Lonchura striata: one gene and its partners. The protein of the gene in region 2 interacts with the protein of the main gene of each other region in a pairwise test. Links are inferred from orthologs where the notes say so. Each region holds a gene or a part of one and is shown on either strand. Other genes may lie near its edges.

Region 1 (7,500 bases), on a different chromosome or scaffold from region 2:
TTTTCCTTCGCCCAGGAGATGTGGGTTTGCCCCTGACTGCCCCATCTGAGGCTTCCGTCTTGGAGAGGCAAATGGCCACCTTGTTTCCTTCAATTTTTCCTCATCCTCTTGCATGTCCTTCAAGATCTTGTCCTTTTTTGAGGGAATGTATGAAGTACAGAGGTCGAAAGGCTCACAGACTGTGAGGGGTTTTAATTTTTTTTGTTGCAGGAGGCGTTTCTGGAATTTCTCATGTAGGAGTTCAAAATCGGGAATGCTCGATTTGATCTTGAGCTTGTGTTCCATTCGCTTTGCTTCAGTGCTCTTGTGTTTCTTCTTTTTGTTGGTCTCTTTTAAGGCCAGTCTGCTGTTGGGTACAGATGAATTTTGTAGCAGCTCCTCAGCTCTCATCCTGATCCTGATTTCCCTGCAGAGCTCCTCCTCCTTTACCTTGTCACGGAAATCTGGACTATAAACACATTTTGGGACTGGTTTCGCTCTGAACACTTTAGTTTTATTTTCAGGCAGGGAAAGGTCTTTTAACTGCATTTTCCTGGCTTCATGCCTTTGCCTCTCTCGCTCAATGAATTTAAAGGGCTTTTGGGTAGCCAGGAGCTTGAGCTTGCTCCTCTCCCTCACAGACCTCCTGCGCTCCTCGTTCCGCTGCACAATGTCGTGGTAGAGCGGCAGGAAGACGGCGGCGGGCACGGGATTGGCTCGGAACTTTTTCTGACACTCTGCTTCCTCCTCCAGCTGCTTCTTCAGTAAGTGATTTTCCAGCTCAATCTGTGACTTGGATTTGACATTCTGCTCTTTCTTCTGAGCTTCTCTGATGGTCATCTGGAAGGGCTTGGGCACGGTGACTCTGGGGGACCACACTTTCTCTTTCTTGTGCCCCTTCCTGCAGGCTGGTGAGCTGGGCAAGCTGTGCTTGGCATGGGAAATGTAGTCTTCCAGGCAGAAGCCATCCCACATTTTTTCAATCTGCTGCTTAGCAAATAAGGATGATCCAGCTCCGCTGCAGTTTTCTTCAAACACTAATTCTTCATCAGACGTGTCCGATACGCTCGAGCCCAAGGGATCACTTAAGTCTGAGTCTGAAAAGGATTTGTGCAGGTTAAGAGGCTGATATGAACTCTTGTCCCAAGTTGGCCTTGAAAATAAAGAGGGAGAAAAAAACCCTTGGTTTGAGCCAGTCCAACATTGATGCAAAGCTGGTGACTTCCACTCTAAGGAATCATAACTAGAAACAAAAACAAGTGGCTGAGGGGCAAGAGAAGGGAAAAGAGCAGCACACAGGGCACTCAAAGCAGATCCTGGTTTTAGTGCTGGTCACCAAGTCAGCACTTCCTGACTTGGGAAAGGCCCTGTGCTTTCCTAAATGTGCTGCCCAATCCCTGCTGCACACGCATCTCTAAAACTCACAGACCACTAGCAAGGAAATGAGTGGTTTTATCTTCAAAACTGACTTTTCTCTGATTATCTGGTTATGAGTGTTGGGGAGTGGAACACTTTCCAGCCCAGAAACACAGCTGCCTGCAAAGCATTTGGGAATCTTCAGCTAAAAAACTGAACTGCCCCCAAACTTACCTACAGCACTTTGGAGAGGTGTCATTTCTTTTATCCAAGGCTTGTACTCCTTTTAAATAGAGTTTGTTTTGATACATACTTTCCAGTTTTGCCATTGTCTCCATGTGGGCATTCTTCAACTCTTCCAGCTTCAAGTAATACTCTTGATTTGAATTGTACATTTTGGAAAAGTCTATCCACGTGTCACAGTCTCTCTTTGGAGGGGAGGCCTGCTCTCTGTTAGTATTTGAATCCAAGTCGAAGCCATCCTAGAAGAGATGTTCATAATTTTTTTTCTGCTAGAAGGAAGGGGAACAAGGTTCTTAATATTGGTTTATTCTAATTAAGTCTAAGGATTGCTAAAGTTACACAGAGATACCTGTATACAAATGTTAATGTAGAAGTACATGGAATGTTCTTGTTGCATATTAATTTTTATCCTAAGGGTCCTATTTAAAGCCTGTAAAAATTCCCAAGTCTGCCCTGTAATCAATGTTTATAACAGGAAATATAATCAAAAGGAGTTACCAAAAGAAAAAAATTAACTATTTTGTAAAGTGTAATTTTTCCTTGATTACTATGCAGCTCTAAAAATGCCTTTCTTTACAAGCAAACAGAACCTTCTCTGCCTCCTAGTTCCATAACCAGTCTGAAAAGAAGTAATTACAGATGCGGTGCATAAATGTTTATTCCATTTCCATAACTTACTGTGAAATGACAGGGATTCTGTGCAGCTTATATTTCCAATACTGATTGTCAGTTTGCAGCTGTGTGCAGTGAATACTCTTTAAGCATTTTTAAAGCTTACACCACAAGTCAGAGAAGTTATTAAAGCCAGGTTAGTCAGCATCACAAAAGCTTCATTTTGTTCTAAGCAGCATGTTTTAAAAAGTCATGGGCCAGTTTCTTTACCAAAAAAAAAAAAAAAAAAAAAAAAAAAAAAAAAAAAAAAAATTAGAGGACTACTTTTCCACACAGAAGCCCCAGCGCCAGCACACTCCATCTCCCCGAACCTGCTGCTGCCACCGGCGTGTAGGAGCCAAGCTCCTTTTCTCGACCCGCGGAACGATGCCAGCCAGCCCTTTCCCCTTTCCTGGGCAGGGCAGGCCAGGCCAGTTCCTACATCTGGTCTCCAGACGCCGCGCTGCCACAAGCCTATTAAAGGATCGGCGCTGCGGCCGGGCCATCTGCCAGGTGTCCCCCGCGTGTGTGTGCGTGTGCGTGTCTGTGTGTGCGTGTCTGTGTGTGCGTGTCTGTGTGTCTGTGTGTGTCTGTGTGTGTGTGTGTGTGTCTGTGTCTGTGTGTGTGTGTGTGTCTGTGTCTGTGTGTGTGTGTGTCTGCGCGTGTGACCCCTCTGCAGAGCAGCTTCAGGCGGAGCCCCCGTCCCCCGGTGCCCAGCAGCCCCTCGGCCGTGCCCGCGGTACCTGCGCGGCGGCGGGCGGCGGTCCCCGCTCGTAGAGCGCGGCGGGAGCCCGTGTGCGCGGGTCGAGCGGCGTGCGGAGGCAGGAGGCGGCCAGCCGGGCGGCCCGGTGCGCGTCCTCCATGCCCGGGCGCCGGGAGGCGGTGCCGGGGGGCCGGGAGGCGGTGCCGGGAGGCGGTGCCGGGGGGCCGGGAGGCGGTGCCGGGGGCCGGGAGGCGGTGCCGGGAGGCGGTGCCGGGGGGCCGGGAGGCGGTGCCGGGGGGCCGGGAGGCGGTGCCGGGGGGCCGGGAGGCGGTGCCGGGGGGCCGGGAGGCGGTGCCGGGGGCCGGGAGGCGGTGCCGGGAGGCGGTGCCGGGGGGCCGGGAGGCGGTGCCGGGGGCCGGGAGGCGGTGCCGGGGGGCCGGGAGGCGGTGCCGGGAGGCGGCTCCTCTCCGCTCCGCCTCGCGGAGATGGCCCCGGGGCGGGGCGGAGCGCGACGCGTTAACGCCCGGCCCGAGCGCCGCCGCCGGCCACGGGCTGGGCTGGGCTGGGCTTCGCCGCGCTCGCAGCCGCTGCCCGTGCGGATTTTTAGGTAACTTCTTGCAGGATTTTAGTGGGAACCTCCAATTCTCACAGGCGAGCCTGCGTTTTTCGCGCCCTCAAGTTATTAAAGAAGGTTTTCCGTCTTGAAGTTTGTACTTCAGGTAAGCAATTGCATGGTAAGGCTAAAGCAGAAGCAGGATTCTGTCCTAGGAATATTCTATCCTAAACCAGAAGCAGGAGCATTCTGTCCTAGGAATATTCTATCCTAAACCAGAAGCAGGAATATTCTGCCCTAGGAATATTCTATCCTCTATGAGGACATATTCCTCTACAAAGCAGAGTTAATGCTGGATGGACCTATTTAATGTAGTGAAATTATAAATACTTTCTGTGATTAAATCACACACAATTGATGCTGTAATTCTTGTCAATAATTTTAACTGTGATAATGGGGGATGAAAACTTTAATCATAGTACATAAACTAAGATCATTGTTGGATGTGACTCTGCGGGGTAAGGCACTATTTGCGATTTTCAACAGGCAATGCATAATTAATGCAGAACATTAATGCCTAAATCAATTGTCTAATTTATTAATTAGTAGTTGAGTTACTCTGTTCTACTTGGCAAGTCACAACAGATCAACACCATGGTGGAAATTTACTCCAACCAACCATGCAACAAACCAACCAATCATGAACAGAAATGTGAAAAGAAATGGAAGAAACACTCTCCTTTAAACATGAAAAGGAATCAGGTTGTTTCAATGTAGCAATAATGGAGATGAAAGGGTTAATTCAAAATGTCACGCTAAGAATTAGGAGTTGGAAAGCTAATTTGCATTGTTATAGAGCAGTGTACTTTTGACTTCTCAGCCAGCTTTGGGAAAAGCAATTATTCTGGGGCCAGGGGGAGGAAACCATGGGAAGAACACTTTTTGTAGGGCTCTGGATCATGTGATGGCATCAGGATGCACACCTCAGGAAAGCAAGGAATGGGAGGTACTCCCACTGCAAAGATCCTCCTCCCCTCTAGCCTGGCATCGCTGAGGGCAGTACCACTACTCCCTTAGGGAAAGCTTTGGGAGAAGCAGCTATAAACTAGGTAAGTGTTGTTAGAGTGCACTTCAAGGGTGTTTTTAGAATGTATCACAAGAAGTGACTGGTTGCCTTAAACATTTCAGCCCTAAAGAGGAGCAGAGAAAAGCTAACGTAACTGAACATAAACTCCAAGAGAAATTAAACAGCAAAGAGTCAGGTAGACTACTGTGTGTTTATTAATATAACAGCATTTTCTTTTTGAAAACCAACTTAAGTTAAACCCGATCAAAGTACATCAGTCTTGGTGGAGTTTAAGACAATTCACACAGGTGCTAGGGCAAGAGCTTGAGGCCATGGTCCCCACCTCTGCTCAGCTTATCCTCGAGTGTTCACCTGCAGGGAGGACACAGAGTCAGGCAGAAGAAATCACAGGATATATCACAATTCCTTCTTTGTTTAAAGATCCTGGGCTTTTAGTAACTCTAATTTCTTGCTTTATGGTGCAGTACTTATAATTCATTTGAAGTTATTAAAAAGCTGAAGGGTCTTAAGCAGCACACAAACTGAGAACACTCACACAGTAACTGCATTTTGAAGCACAGCAAATGAATGACAACATGCTGATGCTTGTGAAGGAGGGAAAACCCAAACCACAATATCAACACCACTCACCACATCATCAATCTTGAGAATGCTGCGCACGGTTTCTGTGGCGAGGGTCAGTGCACTCAAAGACACCAGCAGAGGCTGCACAACCAGCTCCTCCAGGATGTTGGAAATGCCACCCTAGGCGAACAAGGAGCTTTCACTTTGTGCAAGACACACTACAGTCGCATATAGCACTTTTTCTTTGACCAGAATCCTGAGGGCAGTCAACTCCTGGACTATCACAAGGCTTTCAACTGCAGCAAGGGCATTACAGCACACATCTTCCCTCCCCAAGCACTTGCCATATCCAGTCAAAATTAGCCAACAAAAAAGGTCAACACTGCCAACTGAGAAAAAGCTGTGGTGCTACTCTCAACTCATGACCACCTTTCATTGTAGATCCTACCTACAGATCATTCTAAATGGATCTTTTGTTGTAGCTGAATCGCTTTTGTGGAGACATGAAATGTTTCCTGTCGTGTGCATAAAGCAGATAATATCTGCTATTATCAATGCTCAGGGTGAGCTCGTGAGAGAACAAGCTGTAATTTCCTTGTAATTTTAGGGAGGCTACCAGCTTGCCCCCTCCTTAGTCCAACCCTAAGGAGGTTAAGCATTTCCCCTGTAACACCCAGGTATTACAACCCCTCATTACCTTCCTGACATTAATGCCAGCTGTTTTCTCTCCTTGGGCATGTCTGTTTCTGAGCTCTGTCACCGTGGAGATGGGATTGAGCCCTGCATTCTCAGCCAGGGTGGAGGGAATGACCTCAAGTGCATCCCCATAGGCACGGACACAGTAGGAGTCCATCCCCTTCAGCGTCCGGGCGTACTCATTCAGCCGCAGCGCCAGCTCGATCTCTGGGGCTCCACCGCCAGCAATCAAAGCCCTGAGGGCACAGAAGTGACATCAAACCTCACTTCACACAAGTGCACACACAATCATGCTTTAAGTGTTACTAACTGACCCAACTGAGACATTACCTTTTCTTCACTAAGCACCTTATGACGCACAGGGCATCGTGAATGGAGCGCTCAGCTTCCTCCAGCACGAGTTTGTTGGATCCACGGACCACGATGCTCACAGTTTTCCCAGGGTTTGTGCAGCCTGTAATCTAAAATACAAAACCAGATACTGACATTGGGGAACAAATAGAAGTTTGGGACAAAAAGACACTGCCACTGGCATTTTCAAATTCTGTAACAGCACTGATGTCTGGCCAACCAAAACCACTGTGCCGGTGGCTACTCAGAGATTAGAAACAGGTACTTAAATGTAATAAATTCCACAGCTACCAGTTATTAAAACATCAGGCAGATGTTAAGTAGGTATTAACACTTTGTTCCTTGCTCACCTTTATCAGTTTCCCAGAACCGTTCAAACTGACTTCCTCTGCCAGCTCAGCAGAGCCCAGCATGTCAGGGGTGAACTGGTCAATGTGAGCCACAGGCTTAGTTCCAATAGTCTGGAAAAATAATGGGGAAAAAAAATTAATCCAGAGACTGACTGCAGAGTCAGCAAGTACACAGCATGTTGTTCTTCTGCATATGACAGTAAAATGCAGAAGGGACTGTAGCTTTTACATGTATCCTGAATCCTTCAATGGAAGTGTGAATGCTCAAAAGAGCAGAAATGTTTTTTAGGGCAATGTCTGCTCTTGCATTATAGTCAAAACATGAAACTTGTGAAAATATCACAATAAACTGGCCCTGGCTAGGCAGTTAGTTTGGGGGTAGATTTTAAAACACTGCTGCTCATTTATATGACCCACCTTACCTTACATATAAACTCAATGTCCTCTCTTTCAATGTCTTTAACCACCATGATCTTAACTTTGTTCAGAAAATGGAGGGCCAGGTCACTGAGAGCATCCCTGAAAATGAGAGGCAAGGAGTCAGTGCTCAAATTCTTCAGAGTACAAAGTAAGGATGCCATCAAACTCCAAATACAGACAGTGCTGGGTGCTGGTACAGCCATTTTTATTCTGCTAAGTGTGATTTGTGTTTGGCTTCAGTTTTCCAAACAATTCCTACTGTGCCGCAGAGGGCCAGTGCCTGGGTGTTAACGTACCTCAGGATGGACTTCTGAATGAGCAGCACATTGCACCCAGCCTTCTTGATCTGCTTCACCAGGTTCAGGATGTAGGCTCTCTCCTCACGCAGCACTCTGTCCATTTGAGCATAATCAGAAACAACAATTTGGTTGTCCATCTATTTCAATTAAAAAAAGAAAAAAGCAAGTGTCAAAGCATGCCACATTCTTTAATGAAAGATGCTGTAGTTCTAAACAAGCATAACAGCAAAATACTATTAGAAACAGTT
Region 2 (7,618 bases):
AATTTGAAAAACATTTACAGTCTTGACATAGGTATGATTCCCACTAAAATAAATTGTGTAAGTTCATCTGGTCTTTTAAGAGTCCTCTCCAGGTCTCCAGGGGCTTTATAGGGACTTTTCATCTTAAGATCAATTCAAAAACCCTCTTCAGTTTCAGAGCAGCCAATTCCCATTTGATTTACACCTGCCTGGATCTGGCACAGATCCGTGTAGACCCACATGATATAAATAAAATGTCAATATAAAGGACTGTGCTGTGTTGAGGTTTGTAGAAGTCGTGGCTTCCATTGCCCAAGGGCTGACACATTTACTGGTGCACTTAGCTTTATACATGGGCATAACCATTAATTACCTCTGTCCTCTTCTTCACAGGCCACCTTCCAGCCTCTTCCCTCTTATTCCTTCTCCCTCAGGCAAAGTGTCTCCTCTGTGTAGCAACCTCTAGAGACTTTTTTAATGGCAACAGAATGGTCCAGGTCACATCTATCTACTGACAAAAGGATAATCAGCGCTGCTGGCAAAAATCCTGTTCTTACATCTATCCATTTTGGTATGAAATGCCTGAAATGTGTTCAAAATTCACTTTGCTGCTAAGTCATTAAGTCATCTGTAAAGGACAAGGAGCAAATAAGATACCATCAGCTCGACTCGGGAGGGGGAAAAAAATAACCAACAACTGTCTAGGCGATCTTGGGCTATTTTCAGCAGAGGTTTTGTGCTAGCGTGGGGTGGCTCTGAGGCTCGCAAAGGAAATTTCGGCATAAATGAAGCGCGAAGCCGTCAGCGGAGAGCAGCAGGTGTTTGTCCTCAGAGCCCGCGGGCAGGGCAGCTCCGGCCCGACCCCACACCTCACCCGGCACGGGCTGGCAGGAAGAGCTGCCTGCTTTGCTGAGCTTGGGTAAACATTAGGATCTAATTTATCATGTGACAATAAAGGAAACCTTTCCCTTTCTCCCAACCCTTTTTTTTTTTTTTTTTTTTTTTTTTAACAGTCTTTGTTTGAATTTCAGCGTGTGGTTTTTGAGGTGCAAAGAGTGGAGATTTAACCTGGGTCTCTGGACTGATTACTTTGCTGTCAACTGATGTATGTGGGGCTCTTTCCAGACACATCCACAAGTGTTACGTCTCACTAAATTACATGAACAGGGAGCCAGACCTCTTGCTGAACTTACAAAAGAGACATCACACTCATTTAATTAAAAAGATCTGAGTTGCTGGTGTTCTTCATGTTAGATGGTATATCCTGGGTTACATGCCCAGGAGAAATGAAAAAAAAAAAAAAAAAAAAAAATGTTTTCCTTGTACTACAAAGTAAATAGGACTGAGAAATATTTTAGTATTTGCAGAGCCTGGGAGTTCTGACTTAATCATTCCATGTGTATTTCGTGCAGCACAGAGCATTATGCAAAGATCTGGTTATTCAATTTTTTTCTCTAGAATTTCAAGTCCTGGCCTTCCCCGCTGATGTGGTCCCGGCTTTGGTGGACTGCACATGGGAGTAGCAATTGGCTTTAAAGTCAGGCCTTTCAAATATTTTTGGGGCACCTCAGAATCTCTGCTGGATCCACAGTCTGGGCTCTGTGTGGCATTCATAGAGCCTGTTGCCTAAGGAAGGTATTTGCAGTATTCCACATGGGAGCATATTCCTTAGCTAGGATATTCTGGATGTAGGTTCCCTCCTGGACTAGGCCATCCTTTTGGGCATGAATACAGCGCCTCCTTCTCATGTAGCAGACATTTATATGCTGTGGGAACTCTGTTCCCACCTGAGGCTGAAACCGATTTCTCAAGAAAGTGCCTAAACACTGGCACTTCCACCCTCCTCTGAAACTTGTGTACAGAGTGATTTGAAGGTAACAGAGATAAAGGTGACAACTCCTTGAGGCTGAGGAGGGTCTGCAGCTAAAACCTCCTGCCTCTTAGATGGGAAATCCAACCACAGATGTGAAGAGCTGAGCAAGCTGAATGTGAGTGTGCCTTGTTAACAAACTGGGTGAAGTGAAAATTAATATACAGAATTCATCCATTTTTATTCTTAATTCAGGATTGTGTCCTAGATTCTTTGTTTTCATAATGAAGTAGGATTACAGAATGGTGAAAATATTCATTTTTTGGTTTTAACCACTTAAGGACTAAACAAAACTTAGTTTCAAAAGAAAAAGACACTGGGTTCTAAGGCAACCCAGACTGAGAGAAAATGTTACTCCATGTTTGAGGATCTACATGAATACAGAGGTTCATTAATTTATTCCACATGACCTGGCTCCTAGATCAGTTAATCCGACTGGATATATTGCAGTGTCCAGTTTGGGAGAGATTATCAACTCTGTGCCCGTTACAGTCTTTAACCTTTTGCCCTTTCATCCACAAAGTCTCCATTTGACTCGTCAAATCAGGCCAAAACAGTCTTTCTACTAACATTATTAATTTTCATTTTTTATGTGTGACGAGCTGAAGTGGAATGGTATTTGTTCACACAGCCATGAACTCCACTTTATTTTCCAGCCTTGTTTTGGTATTGCTGGAGCAGGTTATCTTGAGGATGCTGCCTTGGCAGCTGCTTAGCCTGAAGTCTTTTTCATCCACTGAAAATCTGGATCAAAGCTTATAAATAAAAGCATTTACCTATGTACAGATTAATTCATAACAATTCACTTTGGAATCTTTTTGCTATTCTTCCTACATTGAAAAGTCAGACCTCAGTTATTCAGACATTCAGTGTTAAATCTGATCTATATTCAGCAGAATTCATTATTTGAATGTCCCTCATCATATTTGGCTTTTTCCTCAAAGTTCCAGTTCCCAGAGTCATGGGATTACATTAGAAACTTCAGGAGGAAAAACAAAAATGTAATCTAGACCTCATGGCTGTACAGGGAAAACTTAAAAAATGTGACTTGAATTCACTCTAAAGGCTCAAATACCAAAGGGAAAGAGCACAGTGTAATAAATGTGTAAAGAATTTTGTGTGTGGAAAAGGAAGATTGACTCATTAGCGATCCTTTCTATCCAGTGCTAGGTGTCGAGATGTTGTGTTTAAAAATAAATTCACATAATCCAGCCACAAATCTGCAAAACCTTCTGTGCAGCGACTGCTGCTTTTTGGCATGACTTGCCTCTGTCTGCCTAACTGGCCCTTGATGCCTTTTAGAGCTTTCGACTGTAAAAGGAACAACAGGGTCAAAATGCAAATACTTTATTCAGGGTGGTAGCACAAATGCGAAGAGAGGAAAGAGAGTTTTCTAAGCTTTGCCTGGCAGACTTCAACTTTCAACTCATGGGCATGGTGAAGGCTCCACGAAGAGAGTAAAAGCTATAGAAATCCAAGTGGGAAAACATTTCTATGGTGTTTTGGAAAAATAATAGTCAACATAGCCAAACCCAGTTTCCTGTGGGGAACAGGCTAGTCAGAGAAGTTGTTCTTCACTGTGCGAGGACCTGGCAGCTCTGCTCCACAGAATCACAGAATGGATTAGCTTGGAAAAGACCTCTGGGGTCATTGAGTCCAGTCGATGACCAAACACCACGGTGTCAACCAGGACATGGCAGTGAGTGCTACATCCAGTCTTTCGTTAGACGCCTCCAGGGATGGTGACTCCAGCACCTGCCTGGGAGCACATTCCAATGTCTGATCACCCTTCGCGTGAAGAAAGTCTTCCTAATGTCCATCCTGGCAGCTCAAGTCAATGTCCTCTTGTATCCCCTGCTCTTGTCCAGGCTGAGCCCCCAGCTCCCGCAGCCTCTGCTGGTGCTTCACACCCTTCCCAGGTCCATTCCCTCCTCTGGACCCGCTCAGCCCCTCAATGGCTTCGGCCCGAGCTCCCCGGAGCCGGTCCCAGCCCCTGGGCTCGCAGGAGCAGCTTGGGCCAGCGGGGCCGGGCGAGGCGCTGCGACTGCGGGGCCACTCCGGCCTTGCCCTGTTCCCAGCCCGAGCTCGCCTCCTGCCCCGGGGCTCCGCTGCGGCTTTCCCGTGGGCGGCGGCGGTATCGCTCCCGGGGCGGGCAGCGCCGAGCGGGTCTCGAACCCCCGTCCCCAGCGGCGGGAGCGGGGCAGCGGCGGCCGCGCCGCCCCGCGCGGTGCATTGTGGGCGCCGCGCTGATTTATGCGGGGCCGCGGAGCGCGCCGGGAGCGGCGGGAGGAGGCGGCGGCGCGGCGGGGCCGGGACCGGCGGGGCCGCGGCGGCGATCGCGGCTCTCCGGGCGCGCAGCGCTTCTGCCGCCCCCTGAGGCCGCGGCGGCGCCGCGGGCGGCCGGCACCACCCACCTGGCCTCAGCCGACCCCGCGCCGGCCACCACGGACGTGGAGGCGGCGGCGGGCGGAGCCGGGCCCGGGCCGAGGGGACCGTCCCGGCGCGGCGGAGCCCCCGCCTCTCGGTAGGGGCCGGAGCGAGGGCGGGCTCGCCGGGGCCTCCGCGGCCGGGCTCGCTCCGCAGGGGCTGCGCGGGGCCCGGGCCGGCCGCGCTCCCGGCGCCGCTGGGGCCTCCGGCGAGGAGCGAGCGAGGCGAGGAGCGAGGCCCGGCCCGGTGCTCCCCGAGACGGGCGGGGGCAGCGGGAGAGCCCGGCGTCCTGCGCCCGCGGCTTTGCTAGCCGGCCCTCCGCGGGCACGGGGAGCGGCGGCACCGGGCCGGTGCCCCCGGAGCTGCCGGCTGCTTTCTTTGCCCGCTCTCGGTTGCGGAGCATCGTCTGTGGGACTAGTGCCGAGGAAACAACAGGTCTCGCTCCCTGCTCGCCTTCCTAAGGACGCCAGCGCCTTGCTCTCGGGATTATAAATGTTTGAACTAAGACGCAGGGAACTGGAAGGAGAGCTTCCCGTTGGAATTAATAGAAGAGAAAAGAAGGGAGGCTTTTCCAAATCCTCTACACGAAAGCTCGTGCTGTTTTCCCCTGCTGTCCGTACTCTGTTTAGTAACGCGATTGTGACCTGAGTGGAATTTATGAGCGATGAACTGTTGAAGCTTGTTGCATCTCTGCATCGGACATTTTTTCTTTTTTTGTCAGCACATGATTCCTCCATCCCAGCTGTTGCAGGGCCTATGGGCCAGTAATAGAGGGATGGGAAGCTGAGACAGTTTATTTTCACATTCTTCTGTACTGGGGACTTGGCGAGTTAGCTGAAGCTGCTGCTTTTTACCGGATCTGCTCTTTTCTCGGCAGGTTTATTCTTTTTTTTCATGTGTTTCGATTAAACAGTTACTGGACTGGAGCTGGATGGGTGCTTTGCAATCCAAAGGGTTTTGGGGGATAACAGAAAACTGCTAAAACAGAGAAGAAGACCTGGTGCTGCAGGAAACCTGGGGCCTGTTTTCACAGCCTTTTCGTTTTGTTGAGCAAGGTAAATAACGTAGTGGTGAAAGTTCAGGGCTTATTGTAATCATGCATGAAAATGTTGCAAAGCACTTCAGATTGTTCCTAGTCTTTCAAAGTATTGAGAGGACCGACAGTAAGAATCAGAATGGATTGTTTTTCAGATGTGAGTGTAAAATATAAGGCTGAGAGCAAAGTTTGTGGTACCTGAGAGGTTTCGGGAGCTGCTTTTCTTGATTTTTGCTTAAGTTCTTGTAGATTTGTGCTTTTGAGAGAGATTGCCTGAAGAACTGTGTTGTTGGTTCAGTGATTTACGAGTGGGTTTTTTCCATGGTTTTTAAAGCCTTAATGCCTTAGCTCTGGTAGGGATCTGTTAAGGTCTCTCAAAGGTGCTCCCAGTTGTGTGCTCACTTCCAGTAGTGCACTCCTCCTATTTGCATTGTTAACTGTATTCATCCTCTACCTTTAATTATTTTTGCTTACCTTTACTTTTGCTGTCCGCATTGACAGCTGCTACTACTCCATAATGAATTTTTATCTTCCTTTACATGTTTTTATCTCCCGAATTGGACCATTTTCATTTACTACTCATTTACCATACATTACTTTCACCATCATAAAACTTCCACAGTCAACATACGCTCAAAGTACTGTTGTAGATACAATCTTTGTACATTTGAAGCAGTGGAAGAAGCAGATAATGTTTCCCAAAATGTGCAGTGTAATAGTTTGCTGGGTGAAGTGTATAATTTTTGGTGTCAGGCTGCATGCCTTATCTTTTTTTTTTTTTTTAAAGACCTCGGCAGCAGTTTACTCCTCAAAAAAGCATAAATCCGTTAAAATGAAGTCACAGTTTGAGACATAGATGCAAAAATCTGGTTTTGCAAGAAGTCACAAGATTCTCATTATGAAGCAAAGCCTTGATTAAGTTGACTGTGTACCTTTTCTCCACTCTTAATGAAATAGTGGCAAACGCCAAGGTGTTGGCAGCCTTTGCTGATGCTATCGTGGGGAGAGCTAAGTGGGTACTACGGGCAGCACTCAAAGTTCCTGTTTAGATTTGTTTGACCGAGATTTCTGGCCTTTGTTGTGTCTCGTTTTTGTTTCAAGATGATGTGTGAGGTGATGCCAACCATCAGTGAGGCCGAGATTCCCACCGGGGGAAATGGAGGCCACGGTTCAGGTTCCCCGTTGCAGTCAGATGCTGATTCCCACTTTGAGCAGTTAATGGTGTCCATGCTGGAAGAGAGGGATCGCCTGCTGGAAACGCTCCGCGAAACTCAGGAGACGCTCGCGCTCACCCAGGGCAAGCTGCATGAGGTTGGCCATGAGAGGGATTCCTTGCAGAGGCAGCTCAATACTGCACTTCCACAGGTATGGACGTTTGGGAAGGCAAGGGGTTTTTCAATGATTTTTGTGTTCTTCGTGGTGTGCTGTTGGCTTTCTGTAGTTTGGTTTACTGAAGAGTTAGGTTGTCTTAGGGGAAGATGAATCTATCCTGAAGGATTTTTTGGTGTTTGCTCACTTTGAGAAAGATGCAAAAGCAAGGAAAGCAGGGAAGAACAGCCCTTTCTCTCCAGTCTGCTTTCCCAGTTTCTGGAATTTCCTTAGCATAAACGTAGAATGGTGTCTACATCTTTTGTCTAATAGAACTTGATGGACCTTTTTCTGCAACTAGTACTTTTTAAATGCTATTTCTTAATTGCCTGATTCATTAAGGTACTTAAGAATTATTACCTGGTCTAGTGGGAGGTGTCCCTGCCCACAGCAGGGGTTTGGAACTGGATGGTCTTTAAGGTTCCTTCCAATCCCATTCTGGGATTCTATGAATTCCATACAGACCATTTTGACTCTATTAAAGACTTTGATTTAAAACCTTGAAGGCTACTGCCTTGTGAATGCATGCTGAGTTGTCATGGCAATATAGAAGTCTGAGTGTGTTGTTTAACCTGTTTAGTTACTTTTGAAAAGTTTGGATTTGGCTTTTTTTTTTTTTTTTCGTCCTGTTAGGAGCTCCTAATTAGTGCCTTGTGGAGAATGCACGTGGCCTGCAGTGCTAGGTTTGTTACGTAAGGAGCATTGTTAGGAAAGGTGATTGGTCTCTGCAGAACTCTTTGGGTTTTATCCATTTGAGTTAAAAATAAAACTGGACTTTGAACATATTGAGAAGCCTTTGGCTGTAGGCAAAGCAGGGGTTGCTTTGAGGTGTTGGTTAACTGTTGACAGCCTTGGTCTTTCTGGTGTGGTGGTTGCTGTCCCAAATGTGGCACAATGGTGCTATGACTTTTACAAATGTTCCCATATCCTTAAATATT
Region 3 (7,153 bases), on a different chromosome or scaffold from region 2:
GAATTCACAGGGCATGAAACTCTGACAGCAGAGGTATCCATGCTGGGCTCAGCCCATCAACCCCACCAGACAACACCACTCCCAGTGTTTCACAAGTCAAACCACCTCTTGCTTCTGACATAAAGAAGGAGTTTTGCTCCCAGCACATATTACCTAATTCTTCACACATTGTGAAAGTCAAAATACCTTTTTGTGTTTCCTGAAGAGCAAGAAAATCGCATTCAAACTGGTATACATTTCTTCTTATCAAGCAAAGAGCTCTCTTCCATTCTGCAGCAGAGCACTCCAGAGATAGGAAAACACTAAGAGGGAACAAACTTCACTGCAGACTCAACAGAGAAAGGAAGAAGAGATTGTGGCAGTACACACTGCAGAAGTGTCTCCTTTCTGCCCTGCTCTCTGTTCCTATGATCAAAGGAGACACAGCTTTCCATCTAAAAGGAGGGCTGGATTTTGTCTGGAGTATGAGGAAGTGGCTGGGTATGTTTTGTGGGAGGGAATTTTAGACACATCACTTCTAAGTTTCTCCTGCACCCAGGTAAATATTACATGCCATTTCAGGTCACAAAAGGAAGCTTGTCACCTGTGACATTCTTTCCTTCTTACTGCACCACTTGTAACCAGGAGAGCAGTGCCATAGCCCACTGCTGATTTGGATGGGCACATCAGAGTGACCTGCTTTGCTGGCTATCCATTGCAAGACCCAGACTTTCCTACACCTTTCCAGAGCTGTGAACTCAGCAAAGAGTTCCACATAAATAAAAGGTCTGACCCCATAATGCCAATGCAGGAGCTCTCTCACTTCCCTGGAGTCTGCAGGCAGCTCTCCCACCAAGCTATTTTCAGCTGTATACACAGAACAAAATGGATAGAAGCAAAGGCCATGATGGAGCATCTACAAAACTGCTCCCTGCTCCAAGGCACACAAAGTAAGACTCTGACTCCTTGCTGGCCACATGGCAGGTCAGGCATGAGCACAAAACTGAGTGGCTTGAAGTAGGCTGATTTTCTGAGGCTCTGCAATGCAGATCTATGCTTTGGAGAAGACTCTAAAATAACATTGACTACAACCACACCACTGTACTACACATTTCTTCCTAGCCCTGATTAGGCCTACATCTCTCCCATGCCCAACCCTCCAAATTACAAGTGCAATGTGTTCCAGACAAGACCAGAGCACACAAGCTTCTATGAATGTAGAAGTGGCACAGCTTGTTTGCTAAATTGCAGCTTTAAAATAAATAAACCACACATACATGCATGCATGCTTCCTCAGACATGTATAACATTCTTCTGAGACAAATTCTCAAATTCCACAACCACTGCCTGAATGACAGACAAAATCAGGACTATGAGAAAAGTTCCACTGAACACAAATTTGCACTAATTCTAAGGACAGCTTATCATACTATCATATTCTGCTAAGGCCATTCTAATGTATCTACCCTGGAAACATCCAAAATGAGAGTGAGACTGCACATCTGGGAATACAGACTGTGCCTTCTTGTGAGGAATGCTGCATTCAGCAACAAGGCTGTTATACCAAAGGAGAGACATTGAATCTCTAGCAGTTTATTCTTTCAAGTGTTCCTATCCATTACTTCCTAATCTCACTCCTCCAGAAAATGCCTCAGAAGAAGAGATCTTTTCCTATTGCTTCTCACTACTCTACCACTCTGACACAAAGTGACAACAGAGTTGATTGCACTTTGCTCTGACAAGAGCATAGAAGCTGCTCCCATCTGTCAGGCTTCCACCTTCTTGATAATCATGTCATGTTCCTTTCTGCAGCCAACTTTGCCATGCCCTGCCCACCTCTGTGAGCACCACTCGCCCTCCGCTTTGTGCCAAATGTCTTTTTGCAGGTCTGCAGGGTATGAGACTCAACCAGTCTCATCCATAGTCATTGCTCCCTTTAGGCCAATTTTCTGCTCTGACTTCTTAAGATCCTGGTGACATGTGTTATCTGGTGGAAGAGCTTGAAACAGCTAAAATGAAAGATTTAATTCCTCCCCAAAAATGAGTTTGCACATGCACACTGCTGTACCCAAGGTGAAAGCCTTACCTCTTCTGAATTCTCTGCCCCACCATCCTTCCCGCTACTGCTGCTGCTGCTGCTGCTGCTGCTGCTGCCACCAGGCTTTGTGGTGCTTTTGGTAGACTTTGGAGACTCCTGAAAGGATGAGAACACATTCAGAGAAAACTTCACCTTGTTCTGAATTTTAGCATCTCTCTGCACAGAGATGTGTGCTGCCATAGACCACTCCTGCAGCACGCCCTGCTCCGGACATCCACTCCCAGCCCTTTCTCCCTGGAAAAGGCATCCTCAGCGGCTCCCGCTGACGCCCAGGACGAGGCCAAGCTCCCGAGCCCAGGAGCAATGCTGGCATCTCCCGTCCCGGTCACCGCAAGCTGACCCCGTCGGGTCACCTGCGGGTGACAGGGCCCAGTGCCCACACAGCCCTTCCCCGGGGCGCGGCCTCATCGCAGATACGCGGTGCCGGGGCACCCACGGCCCCGGCCCGGCCGCCCTGGGCGGCGGCAGAGGCGGATCCGGGCCCTCAGCCCGGCGGCAGAGGGAGCAGCGGGGCCAGGAGGTGGGTGCGGCCGTACCTCCCCCACCGGGAGCATCCCCGCGGCCGGCGGAGCGCAGGGCAGGGCGGGCCGGGCCGGGCTCGCACCGCGGCACCGCCGGCCGCCCCTCGCGCCCGCCCGCCTCCCCGGGCCCGCGCGCGCCCCCGCCGCCCTCCTGCGCCACCCGACCCGCCCGCCGCGGGAGCGCGCCCGCGCCCCCGCCCCCTGCCGGCCACAGCCCCGTGCGCGCCCCCGCCCGAGGGCCGAGCCGAGGGAAGGCCGCGCCGGGGAGGGGCGGCGGGAGCGAGCTGTCGGCCGCGGCGCCGCGCGCGGGAGCTCCCCCGGCACCGCCGCCGCCCCCAGGGCCGCACCTTCTCCTTCTTCAGCTTGTAGGGCATGGTGAGCGCCGGCCCCCAACCGCTCCGCGCCCGCCGCCGCCGCCGCCGCCTGCGCCCGGGCCCGGCCGCAGCGCCCCGCTCCCATTGGGCCAGGCGCGCCGGCCTGCCTAGCAACAGCCTCCGCCGCCGCCGCGTGCCGCTGACGCAGGGCGGCTGATTTTTCTGATTGGTTACAGGGCGCGCGGGCGCCGGGCACGCCCTCGGGGGTGGGGCTGCGGGAGCGGCTCTTCCGGGGCAGCGGCCTGGGCGCGGGTTCGGGCTCGGCTTCTTCCCGCGGGAGGGACCCGGGCGTGCGGGGCTCCCCGGGACATGGCAGGCGCCTGCCCGGGGTTCTCGGGTCCCCGCTGCGTGTTTTCCTCCTCGAGAGCGGGAGGAAAAGTGACTAGGTTCCTTGTTCTGCCCAGCTCTCCTCTGCCTCGCTCGAGCAGGAGGAGCCCGAACAGCTTGAGCTGGCCCCAGGGTCTGCACTCCCGCCTTGCGAGGTGCTTATTAGTGCTCCGATACACAGTTTTGGGGAGGCTGCCCGTGGGAATAAGGGAAGCTGGTGGATCTAAGGGTGAATGGAAACGTGCGTGTGAGCACTGCGAGGCCCAGCATAGCCAGAGCTTTGTGGCTGCTGATAAGAAGGCTGTTACTGGGACATGGGGTCAGGACACTTCCCTGCTCACATGGGGCAAGGCAGCTCGATTAGCTCATTAGCAGCTGGTCCTACATCCTTACAGTGGGATGATGGTGTCCCAACAGCCTCCATGTGTCACCTTCAAGCCCACCTGTTTGTTGGTCCAGGTGGGCAAAAAGCAACCAGCAGGTAGCAAGCTGTCCTTGATTTCATGGACTTAAGCAGGACCTGCTGGCAAAGGGGCACCTCATTAGGGTTCATGATGTCTCAAAGGTCTAATGTCAGTCCTTCCTATCATTGTCCTTAAGGTGTGTCTGCTGGTTTGTTGCTAGAGGTGCAAGAGCTCCCATTCACTGCAGCCAGGCCAGTGGTAAGGATCTCATGGAATGTGGCACATGAATGGGGAGAGAAGCAGGGGACTGGGTGGTATCAGAGGTGCTTCAGCAGGAGCACAGTCTTTTCAGCTAACCTGGTGTGGCATGTGGGGAAGAAATTCCCTAAGCGTGTTTTGAAAGAGCAGTGCATCAGCCTGTTGTTAGTGTGGTTATCATCTTCATTGACCTGAGTCACTGGCACTCCATAGGATACCCAGGAGCAGAGCAAGGTCCTGGTTTCTGTTCTTCCTCTGTCATGCACAAGTGACCCTGGCCACAGCCCCAGCACAACCATCTTGTGAGCAGGAAACTGCCTGTGTGAGCAGGTAAAAGCCACTTAGTTGAATAGTTTGTAGTTATCATCATTCCTTGTCATAAGCTGTCACATGGAATTCTGGATTGGCTTTCCTTGGTCCTGGAGGTTGGTGAAACTCAGCTTCAGTGAACTGGTATTTAGCCCCTGACTTTGTCCAGGTGTCAAATGACTGATGTTTGGGCCTAACTTCCGTCTAACACCGTAGCACAAGGTGGCCATCAAGGTCATCTCCAAAAAATTCCTGCCCCACTGGATGCAGGCAGGGTAAGAAGGTGGCATTATCAGGGGCAGCAGGAGAAGCCCCTGAGCATCACAAAGTTCTGCAGGGAAGGGGGTGTATCTGAGGGTCCTCAGGGCATCAGGGGCTAAGGGGGAAATGGGAGCACCTTTGGGTTGCTTCGTGGGCAGCAGTGCTACTGGATGGCTCAATGTGGCAAGGGTTTTTTGAGGTTCAAAGGAGCAGGGAGTGGTTGGGGAATTCCTGGGCACTGGGGGCACTGTGAGGCAAAGGGCAGGGATTCTGAGGGGCAGGGAACTCTTGGGAGCTTCAGGAGGATGGAGGCATGGTGGGCACTTTGTGGGGGACTGACAAGGGTTAGGGGAGCAGCAGTGGGCAAAGGGGATGGGGGTGCAAGGCAAAGGGGAGCCAGTGGAGGGCAGGGCCATCTGATGCCAAGCCCATGTGTCCACGGATCCTGAAGGGCTCATCCCGCTGAGCCAAGGCATGGAGACAGCTTTCATCTCCTCATGGACCGGCCCCCTTGGGGAGAATCCCAGAGCAGGTGCTTGGGGTACCCAGCCCAGGTAATGAAGAACTTCCTGGAAGCCTCTTTTCGTGTCCACACCTGACTGCAGCACTGCATCCTTACCTATTCTGCCTCCACACTACTGCTTACCGTCCAAGCTCTCCTCCCTGCCCTGGCCTCCCATTTACCCACAGCTCCTTTCTTGCCTCCTGACCTCCCTGGCCCAGCATCTGCCCACCTTCCATCTGCCCCTGCCTGCCCACAGCACATGCTACCTATTCTTGGCAGAAGCTTAAACCTGGAAAACATCTTCCTGGACAGAAAAAAAACATGAGGGTCCCCATCTCCAAATTTTCCAGAAGGGTGATATGGCATGATGTCAGTGGGGAGTCCCTCAGGGTCTCCCCACATCAGGGACTGCCCACCAAGGCAGCAATGAGCCAGAGCTTCTGCCAATCCTATGCTTCTGCTTGTACTGATATCCAGCAGGAGAAGCCCTGTGACCTCTTCCTGGCAAACACATGGAGTCCTGAGGTCATCTTCTGCACCCTGCTCTGGGGCCACAAGCCTTGTTATGCCACCAACCTGCAGCACCTGCTGGGCCAGACCCAGCAGTCTTGTCTTGCCACAAGTCAGCCCCTGACCTAGGACTGCAAGGCAGGGGACTGGGAGCAGCTTGGGATGGGGGGCATGTGAATTCTCCTGCCTTCAGGAAGGATGCATTCAGCATGGAAGTATGGCTCCACTTTCTATCTGAGCTCTTCATAATTTTCTCTACATGGTCCAGCTAGGAAACAGTTGGGTGTCCCAGGCACATTCTTTTCTCTTTCAAGACTTTTCATAGAGGAACACAGAAGAAAGAAACAGAAAACAATTTATATTTCTGCTCCTTATTTTCCCCATGTAGAATGTGTTTAGAGAATTGTTTACCTAGGGTAATTGCTTAATTAGATTCTGGTGTGAATTGATTGAGCCTGATGGCTAATCCAATCCACTTGTGTCTAAACTGTCAAGAGAGGATCACAAGTTGTGAGTTAGATAGAGTAGTTAGAAAAAGTAAATATATAGTTTTAGTATATCCTTTAAATAGTATATTAATGTATTATAGTATAATTAAAAATTAAAAAAAAATCATTCAACCTTCTAAACTAGGGTCAAACATCATCATTTCTTTCCACTAAATTCACCTACATTTACAATAGTTGGGCAAGCAGATGAAGAAGCCCATGGTGCTGAGGAACAGAAAGCTGTCCTCCTAGCAGGCCTCTCTGCATTGCCAGAGGCTGCCTTTAGCACTTGCAGTGTCTGTTCTGCCTTGAATTACCTCACCTTGGCTTTTGTTCCCCTTTCAAGTACCATCTCAAAGAAGATGGCTCTGCCCCTTTTCTGATTTCTCTGCTGCTTTGAATATCTTTGTGCTCTCCAGAGACTTTTCTCACAGTGGTTTCCTAACCAAAACTTTCTCCTGGTCTTTCCATGTCCCTTCAGTATCTCCTGCTCTGGTTTCTGTCTTTTGAGATTTGTTTGAGCTCATCCACAGCCAAAAACAGCTCTCATTCCTTCTTTTGAAAGTGTTACTAAGGATCAGTACTCATTTGCTGCCCTTTTCTTTCCATCAGTCTTCCTCTTCTCCAGATCAGGCTGGTGAATCCAGGTGCAGCTGCCTCTGAAGAATACAGGATGGGAAGGAGGTTGACACTGGTGTAGTCCAGCAGGCTGTGTCCTTGCCCCATGGTGTCTCCAGACCTATTTGGGATCACTCCACACATACAAAAACTCTTTGGAATGTGTCCTTGCCCATAGCAATAGTTTCTACTATTGCTCTATTGTAATCTTTGTTCATGCCTTGAGCTAAGAAATCCCAGATTCTTTCCCAACCTTTACTCTGACTCGATTTTCCTGTTCTTCCTGTACATGTTTTGTAGAACTACATGAAATTACTGACTGGTAAGAAATCCTGTGTCAGCACATTTCCTCAGCTGTTTTGCATTGTTCAGATACAATATTTGTTGACCACAGATGGCAGAATTTCACCCTGGGTTGCTTATACCAGCAGCAGAAGTAAGGTTTGTAGAGGACTATTGCCTCAACAATCTCTCAAGTTGACCAGAATTCCACCACGAGGG
Region 4 (7,124 bases), on a different chromosome or scaffold from region 2:
CCTTCCCCATAACACTTGGAGAGCTAGGAATCCCTCACCTAAACCCCTTGGGAGCTGGGAATCCTTTACTTAAACCCTTGGGGAGCTGGGAATCCCTCACCTAAACCCCTTGGGAGCTGGGAATCCTTTACCCAAACCACTTGGGAGCAGGGAATTTTTCCCCTAAACCCCTTGGGGAGCTGGGAATCGCTCACCTAAACCCTTGGCTTTCTTCTTCTCCTGAGCTCTCTTCTGATCCCTGTCTCCAGCCTCCTCTCCGGGCCGGAATTCCTCGGTGCCCTTGGAGTTCTCCTTCTCGCCGTTGAGCTCGGGGCCGCCCGGCTCCTGCTCCCCGTTCCTGGGGGATTCGCTCCGGCCCTTCTCGGGCTCCTCGGGCTCGGGGGCATCGCCCTGCCCGCCGTCCTCGCCCGGGTTCTCCTGGCTGGCATCCACACAGTAGGTGCTCAGGATGTCCTCCAGCTGCCGGCTCAGCTCCTCCGAGACGTCGCGGGAGGATTTGGGATCCTCCTGGCTCAGGGCAGCTTGGAAAGGGGGGAAAAAATTAAAAAAGAACATAAAAAACCAAAACAAAACAAAAAAAAAATTGAGGCTTCCCTCCCTTCTCTCACCCAGGGAATGGGAGGTTTTTCCTGGCTGGACTTGCAGCAGGAGAAGCTGCTTTGTTCCATTGTCAGGGAATTCCCAACAGTTTTGATCAGCAGAGCATGACCAAGCCCCTGACATCTGTCAAGAGGGAGAATATCCCCCTCTCCACTCCTTTTTTTTTCTTTTTAAGGGAAGCAGGTTGTGTGTGAGGTTTTTACCTCCCTCCCAGAGGAATTGGCAGCTCCAAGGCTGGGATTTTTAGCATGACAATGGATTTTAAACCTGGGGAAGAGCAGCTGGGATCAAACAGGGATGGAGCAGGCGGAACGTCCTGGCAGCGGGCTGGAGAGGGGAACTCCTCCAGGACTGCACACACACAGGAAAAGGGGAAAAACCCCAGGATTTTCAACCCTGGAAAACCAGGATTTTCTACCCTGGAAAACCACAGTTTTCTGCTCTGGAAAACCACAGTTTTCTGTGCTGGAAAAGCAGGATTTTCTATCCTGGAAAACCAGGATTTTCTACCCTGGAAAACCAGGATTATCTGCCCTGGAAAACCAGGATTTTCTTCACTAGAAAACCAGTATGTTCTACCCTGGAAAACCAGGCTTTCTGCCCTGGAAAACTACGATTTTCTGTCCTGGAAAACCAGGATTTTCTGATCTGGAAAACCAGGATGTTCTACCCTGGAAAACCAAGACTTTCTATCCTGGAAAAGCAGGATTTTCTACTCTGGAAAACCAGGCTTTCTGCCCTGGAAAACTATGATTTTCTGTCCTGGAAAACCAGGATTTTCTGATCTGGAAAACCAGGATGTTCTACCCTGGAAAACCAGGACTTTCTGCCCTGGAAAAGCAGGATTTTCTGCCCTGGAAAAGCAGGATTTTCTACCCTGGAAAACTAGGATTTTCTGATCTGGAAAACCAGGATTTTCTGACCTGGAAAACCAGGACTTTCTACCCTGGAAAACCAGGACTTTCTGACCTGGAAAACCAGGATTTTCTGCCCTGGAAAAGCAGGATTTTCTGCCCTGGAAAAGCAGGATTGTCTGCCTTGAGCTGGACAAGCAGCTCCCTGTCTCGTGGCAGCTCGACGCCGCCCTCGCCCACCGCAGGGCCGGGACCCCCCAGCCCCAGGGGTCCCCCACCTTCCGCGGGGGCTGCAGCCTCCGGAGCGTCTCCCTCCTCCAGCCCCATCCCGCCGCTCCTTCTGGAAGGACGTGGAGCTGCTTTGGCCTCCGTTGCCTGGTTCTTCATCACAGCCCGTGCACCCCCTCGGGCTCTGCGGGGACAGAAAGGCTTTGAGGACATCTGCAGGATTTTGGGAGCCATCAGCAGCAGAAGCTCCGTGCTGAGGGAAGCATCTCTCCACTCCCGGGTTTGTGTCGGGATAATTCCCGTTGGAATGCCGCTCTGGAGCAAGGCAGCAGCTCCCAGCCCGCAGATAAACGGAATTTTCCCTCTGGGCACAACCCCCGCGGCCCTTTCTGTCCTTCCCAGCTCTTGGATTTCACACCTGAGCCAAAAATCGGCACCTGCACGGCACAGAGGGCAACTCCTCCTGAATTCCCTGGCTGAGGAAGCCCGAAATTCCAGCTCCTCATCCTCACCCGTGAGGGGTCGGGATGGTCTCAGCCTCCCCATTCTCACCCAAATTCCCATTATCACCCAAATTCCCATTATCATCATTGTCGCCCTCATTGGGAGCTGCTGCTGCTGGACCGGGGGGAAAGGAGGAGCCGTTCCCGGTCACACCGGGGCCGTTCCCCGGTCACACCGGGGCCGTTCCCGGTCACACCGGGGCCATTCCCCGGTCACACCGGGACTCCTGGAAGGAACACCGGAGGGCAGAGCGGCGGCAGAGCCCGGCCCGTGTCACCGCCCACGTGCGGGGTGTCCGGGGCACGGCCCGGCCCTTCACCGGCACCTGCCCCGCGCCTCGGGCGCTCCTTTTCCCCGCGCAGCTCCGGGGCACGGCGGCGATAACCGGGGCACGGGACAGATAACCGGGGAATGGGAGGGATAACCGGGGCACGGCAGCAATAACCGGGGCACGGCAGCAATAACCGGGGCTCGGCGGCGAGAACCGGCCCCGCACCCCCCCGGGAGCCCCCGGCCCATGGCTCCCCGGGCACCGGCAGCCCCGTCCCGTGCCGCCCCCGTTCCACCGGGCCCCCCCCAGCCCCGTTACGGCCCCGGTGCCCCACCCCCCCGTTAAAGCCGCCCCGCGCCGCCCCCTCCCCGCACCGCGGTGACGTCACGCGCGCACCCCGTGACGTCAGCGCCGGCGGTCTGACGCAGGTGTGGCCTGGTTCCTCGCGCTCGGCGGGCGCCGGTGCCCGGCGGGTGCCGGTGCCCGGGCGGTGCCGGTGCCGGTGCGGTGGCGGCGGTACCGGCGCTGAGGGAGCGGCTCGGCCCGGGCCTCACAACGGCCGCGCGTGCGCCCGCCCGCGCCGCCGCCCAATCAGCGCCCGCCGCGCGGGGCCTGCCGGGAGGCACCGGGGGAGAGGCGGCAAGCGCGGCGGGAGGCGCTGAGGGGACTACAGCTCCCGGCGTGCTCCGCGAGAGAGCGCCCGCGGGGACTACAGCTCCCGCCGTGCTCCGCGCGGCGGTCGCCATAGGAACTGTAACTCCCGGCCTTGCTCTGTAGGCCTGGAAGGAGAAGAGGAAGAGGAGGAAGAAGGGGAAGGAGACTGTATCCTACAACTACCGCCATGCCCCGGGGTTGGGGAAGAGGAGGGTGAGAAAGGAGGGGGAACTGTGGCCTACAATTCCCGACATGCCCGGCGCACGGCTGCCTTGGGGAACAACAATTCCCGCCCTGCTCCTTTGGAGGGAAAGCAGATGAGGAAGAGGAGGAGGAGGAGGAGGAAGGGCGGGAGAAGAAGGGAAAGAAAGAAAGGAGGGGGGGGGAAAAAAAGTGGCCTACAACTCCCAGCATGCCTTGCGCACGACCGGCCTGGAGACTACAACTCCCAGCAGGCCCCGCGCGCCGCCGCTGTTACCGGGCACCGGGGGCCCCTCCCAAGGTCACCGAGCGCCCCCCGGTCCCCCCATCACGCCACACCGGACACCTGCACAGGCCGAGTTTATTCGTTCCACAACAAGGGCCCCGCAGCCCGGAACCGGGTGTTTGCTCCTCTGTTTTTACCGAAATCGCGGCTCAAAAGGCGCCGCGGGGGCTCGGGAGCTCCGCGCTCACCGGCAGGAGCAGCAGCGCCGGGGGGGTTCCAGGCGTGCCCGCCTCACAGCGCTTATTTACAGGAATCACAGAAATTTCACCTCTGTTTTTTCTCTGTGGCCCAATTGGACAAATATTTCCCTATCTATGCTATAAAAAAATACAGAGATTTGCCGTTTTTGGAAGTAAAATGTGCATTTTCTGACTGTGAGCAGGAGGTAAGCCTGAAAACCTGGTGCTGTTGGAGCTCCCATCACCGCTGGCAGGTGGAGCCAAACCTTCCTCCACCCCAAAACCACCCCAAGGCAGGAAAAACCCCGAATTCAGCCCACGTTTCTCATGGCAAATAAAGTATTTCAAGTAAAGATGAAGGTGGGTTTCAGCATTTCAGAGCTCTGAGATCAGTCAGTACAATGCAAACCAAACCTGTGCAACAGCAGCTGTGTGCTTCCTGCTCCAAAAATTCCACCCCAGTTCCCATCTTTGGGCTCTTGTTGCTTTTTTAATCCTTGGAAATACAACTAGCAGTTCTTCAAAAAAAAAAAAATCTAGAGAAAGGGAAGCAGCAGGAAAAAAAAAACAAACTTCCCAGCAGTGAGAGAACTTCTCATTTTTTCTGTCCATTTTCAGTATTTTTCATCAGGGAACTGGTCCTGGCTTCACCAGGATTGTCCACCTGAAGGAGGAAGGCCAGGGCTAAATTTTGCTCTTGGCATATTAAAGAGTCTTTAATAAAGAATAACATGTGCAAAAAAAAAAAAAAAAAAAAAAAAAAGAAGAAAATTTAAATAGATCAAGCCAGGTTTTTGCAGAATTACTGTGGCCAGAACAGCTCCCTCCTCTCTTGTGTCCTCACCCAACCCAAGGCTGGAGGTAAAAAACTGCACTGGGGAGACACCAGCATGAAAAGAAGCCACCAAGAGGTGCTAGCTGTCACCTGTGTGTCCTCCCTGCCTCCAAACCAAGGTGAGCAGCAGCCCAAAGGAACAAAGAGCAGAAATTCCCCTTTTCTCTGGCAGCACCGGGCGCTCTCTGTGTTTGTCGAGTTCTCCCAAACAGGTGGAGTGGGTGTCCAACCTTCCCAGCCAGGACCTGCAGCTGCTCTCCCAAACTTTCCAGAAAGTTTGTGGTGGGTTTTTTTGGGTTTTTTTTTGTTTTGTTTTTTGTTGGTTTTTTTTTTGGAGGTTTCCCCCAGGATTATAGCTGGAATCCTTCCATGGGAGCCTCGGGTTGTTGGAAGATGTATTGCTGCTGGTTCTCGTCCACCTGGGGAGCCACGGCCGCGTCGTCCTCCACCCCAAAGTAGTGCTCAATCAAGTCAAAGGCTTTCTGGTAGATCTCCTGGTTCTCGTGGCTCTGGAGGAATTCTATTTTATCCAAACCTTTGAAGGAAAAAAAGAAAAAAAAAATTGGAATGGGATGAAGCAAAGAAATCCCCTCTCCCTCCTCCAAAGGATTCTGTGAGCAGAATAAAACCACGCCTAAACCCAGCTGTGCCAAAGCTGCCCCTGCTCAGGTTTAGCTGATCCAGATGTGCTCCCAGCTGCAGGCTAATCCCAAATTCCAGCGGGATGAAAAATTAGGGATTTGGTGGCTGCAGGGGGTGGGGAGGAGGAGCAGGGCCTGTGCCAGGAGCCTCCAGCTCTCGCTGCCCCGGTTCATCCAGCGCTGCACAGAAAGCATCCATGCACAGGGCACCCTCAGGAATTCCAGGAATTATCCTTCCAGGGAGAATCAGGACACTCCAGATATTCCATAATGAGAGGGCAAAACAGACACTGCCAGCTCACAGGGAGTTTCAGACCAAAATAGGAACTTGTTCCTCCCTCAAAGCATCGAGAGCAGGACCAAAAAAAAAAAATAAATCCAACAGCAGCAAATTAAATCACTCCAGGGAAAAGCAAAATCTCCCTGGATTTCCAGTGTAAAATTGGGCACAGTCAGAGCAATTTTAGATCAAGAAGTGTCACTTTTTACTTAGCTCAGCTCATTTCTGGCTCATACTCCCACCTGGTGCAAGCCACGATTTTCAGCTTGGACTCCAGGTCAGAGTTATTTTTCTCATCACTCACTAAACGAGTTTGAAAAGATTTTGGAACAAATATTGGCTATTTTGGAATATAACAAACCCTTCAACAGAGCAGAAAAGCAGCTGAGAGAGCCCTGCAGTGCCCAAAGCCCCACCTACCATAGGCCTCCTCGATCAGGCTGCAGTAGGGGTTGATCCCAGTCCCACTCTGGTTGGCTTCCTGCTCTCCCAGCCTCAGGATGTTTTCCAGCCCATTCAATGCCACCAGAACGATCTTGGAGTCCATGACAGTCAGCAGGTCACACAGGGGTTTGATACAACCCAAATTCACCAGGTACCTGCAGGGGGAGAGCAGCACCAACATCACTGCCTGCTCAGGAGCATCACCTTGGCTCCTTGGGAAAGCAAAGGAGTCCAACTAAAATCCAGAAATTTACCTTAAAATACACATTTACTGCTCTGCAAGGTTAATTTTGATGCATTTATTTGTATTTGTATGCAGCCCTATTTTCAGAAATCTTTTTTTTTTTAAGGAAATGAGCCACTTTTGAAATCCAGGTGCTGCCAACTTAAGTCCACACTGGAATTTAATCTGTCATTAAATTTGGACATTTAGCTTCAACTACCCAAAGAGAAATGGAGAAAATCTGGGATCCTCATCCAGCAGGAAATCACAACCCAGCTCTGCCTGTCTCCGTTACTCTCCAGAATCTCTCCAAATTCCTCCTTTGCCTGGAAATTTGCCTCAATTCCACCCCAGGCAGGTGTGGCCCAGGAGGGGAGGCTCAGGGAATATCTGACCTGAGCCACTTTTGAAATCCAGGTGCTGCTTGACTTAAGTCCACACTGGGATTTAATCTGTCATTACATTTGGAGATGTAGCCTCAACTACCCAAAGAGAGATGGAGAAAATCTGGGATCCTCATCCAGCAGCCAGCTCTGCCTGTCTCCGTTACTCTCCAGAATCTCTCCAAATTCCTCCTTTGCCTGGAAATTGGCCTGAATTCCACCCCAGGCAGGTGTGGCCCAGGAGGGGAGGCTCAGGAATACCTGATCTGCTCAGGGGTGCCTCCCGAGGTGGCGTTGGTGATGGCCCAGGCCGCCTCTTTCCGCGTGCGGAATTCCGCTTTCTGCAGGATTTCGATCAGCACCGGGAAGATGTTGGCATCGATGACTGCCTGGGAAGAGAGGGCAGGGAGAGGGCTTGGGATTGGCAGCACTTCCCAAAAGGTTTCCTGAAAGAAACCTCCACTTCCACATCCCCAGGTGAAGAACTTCCCAAGCTGAAGTGATTGCTGTGGTTTGTTCCTCAGCCAAATCCTATTAAAAG

Evidence for each region.
Region 1: the proteins of PPFIA1 (region 2) and FAM161A interact in binary tests that used the Homo sapiens proteins (3 or more experiments, as listed by UniProt). The link is inferred for Lonchura striata from reciprocal best matches to the Homo sapiens genes PPFIA1 and FAM161A.
Region 3: the proteins of PPFIA1 (region 2) and PPP2R5D interact in binary tests that used the Homo sapiens proteins (3 or more experiments, as listed by UniProt). The link is inferred for Lonchura striata from reciprocal best matches to the Homo sapiens genes PPFIA1 and PPP2R5D.
Region 4: the proteins of PPFIA1 (region 2) and TXLNA interact in binary tests that used the Homo sapiens proteins (3 or more experiments, as listed by UniProt). The link is inferred for Lonchura striata from reciprocal best matches to the Homo sapiens genes PPFIA1 and TXLNA.

The regions. Positions count from the first base shown.
Region 1 is NC_134605.1:24,993,051-25,000,550, reverse strand, and holds the start of FAM161A (protein FAM161A), read right to left. Parts: upstream 3,114-7,500; 5' UTR 3,093-3,113; coding exon 2,973-3,092; intron 1,818-2,972; coding exon 1,570-1,817; intron 1,133-1,569; coding exon 1-1,132. Other genes in the region: CCT4 (T-complex protein 1 subunit delta), read right to left, coding at 4,906-4,923, 5,203-5,316, 5,834-6,068, 6,163-6,293, 6,534-6,644, 6,956-7,052, 7,250-7,389. UniProt on the Homo sapiens protein: Involved in ciliogenesis.
Region 2 is NC_134608.1:54,940,121-54,947,738, reverse strand, and holds the start of PPFIA1 (liprin-alpha-1), read left to right. Parts: upstream 1-4,564; 5' UTR 4,565-5,331; intron 5,332-6,413; coding exon 6,414-6,677; intron 6,678-7,618. UniProt on the Homo sapiens protein: May regulate the disassembly of focal adhesions. May localize receptor-like tyrosine phosphatases type 2A at specific sites on the plasma membrane, possibly regulating their interaction with the extracellular environment and their association with substrates.
Region 3 is NC_134605.1:18,812,585-18,819,737, forward strand, and holds the start of PPP2R5D (serine/threonine-protein phosphatase 2A 56 kDa regulatory subunit delta isoform), read right to left. Parts: upstream 3,047-7,153; 5' UTR 2,973-3,046; coding exon 2,946-2,972; intron 2,659-2,945; exon of another isoform or gene 2,632-2,658; coding exon of another isoform or gene 2,614-2,631; intron 2,174-2,613; coding exon 2,066-2,173; intron 1-2,065. UniProt on the Homo sapiens protein: The B regulatory subunit might modulate substrate selectivity and catalytic activity, and might also direct the localization of the catalytic enzyme to a particular subcellular compartment.
Region 4 is NC_134628.1:994,320-1,001,443, reverse strand, and holds the start of TXLNA (alpha-taxilin), read right to left. Parts: upstream 3,035-7,124; 5' UTR 2,854-3,034; intron 2,371-2,853; exon of another isoform or gene 2,253-2,370; intron 1,867-2,252; 5' UTR 1,842-1,866; coding exon 1,733-1,841; intron 522-1,732; coding exon 195-521; intron 1-194. Other genes in the region: KPNA6 (importin subunit alpha-7), read right to left, coding at 4,963-5,147, 5,954-6,132, 6,845-6,972. UniProt on the Homo sapiens protein: May be involved in intracellular vesicle traffic and potentially in calcium-dependent exocytosis in neuroendocrine cells.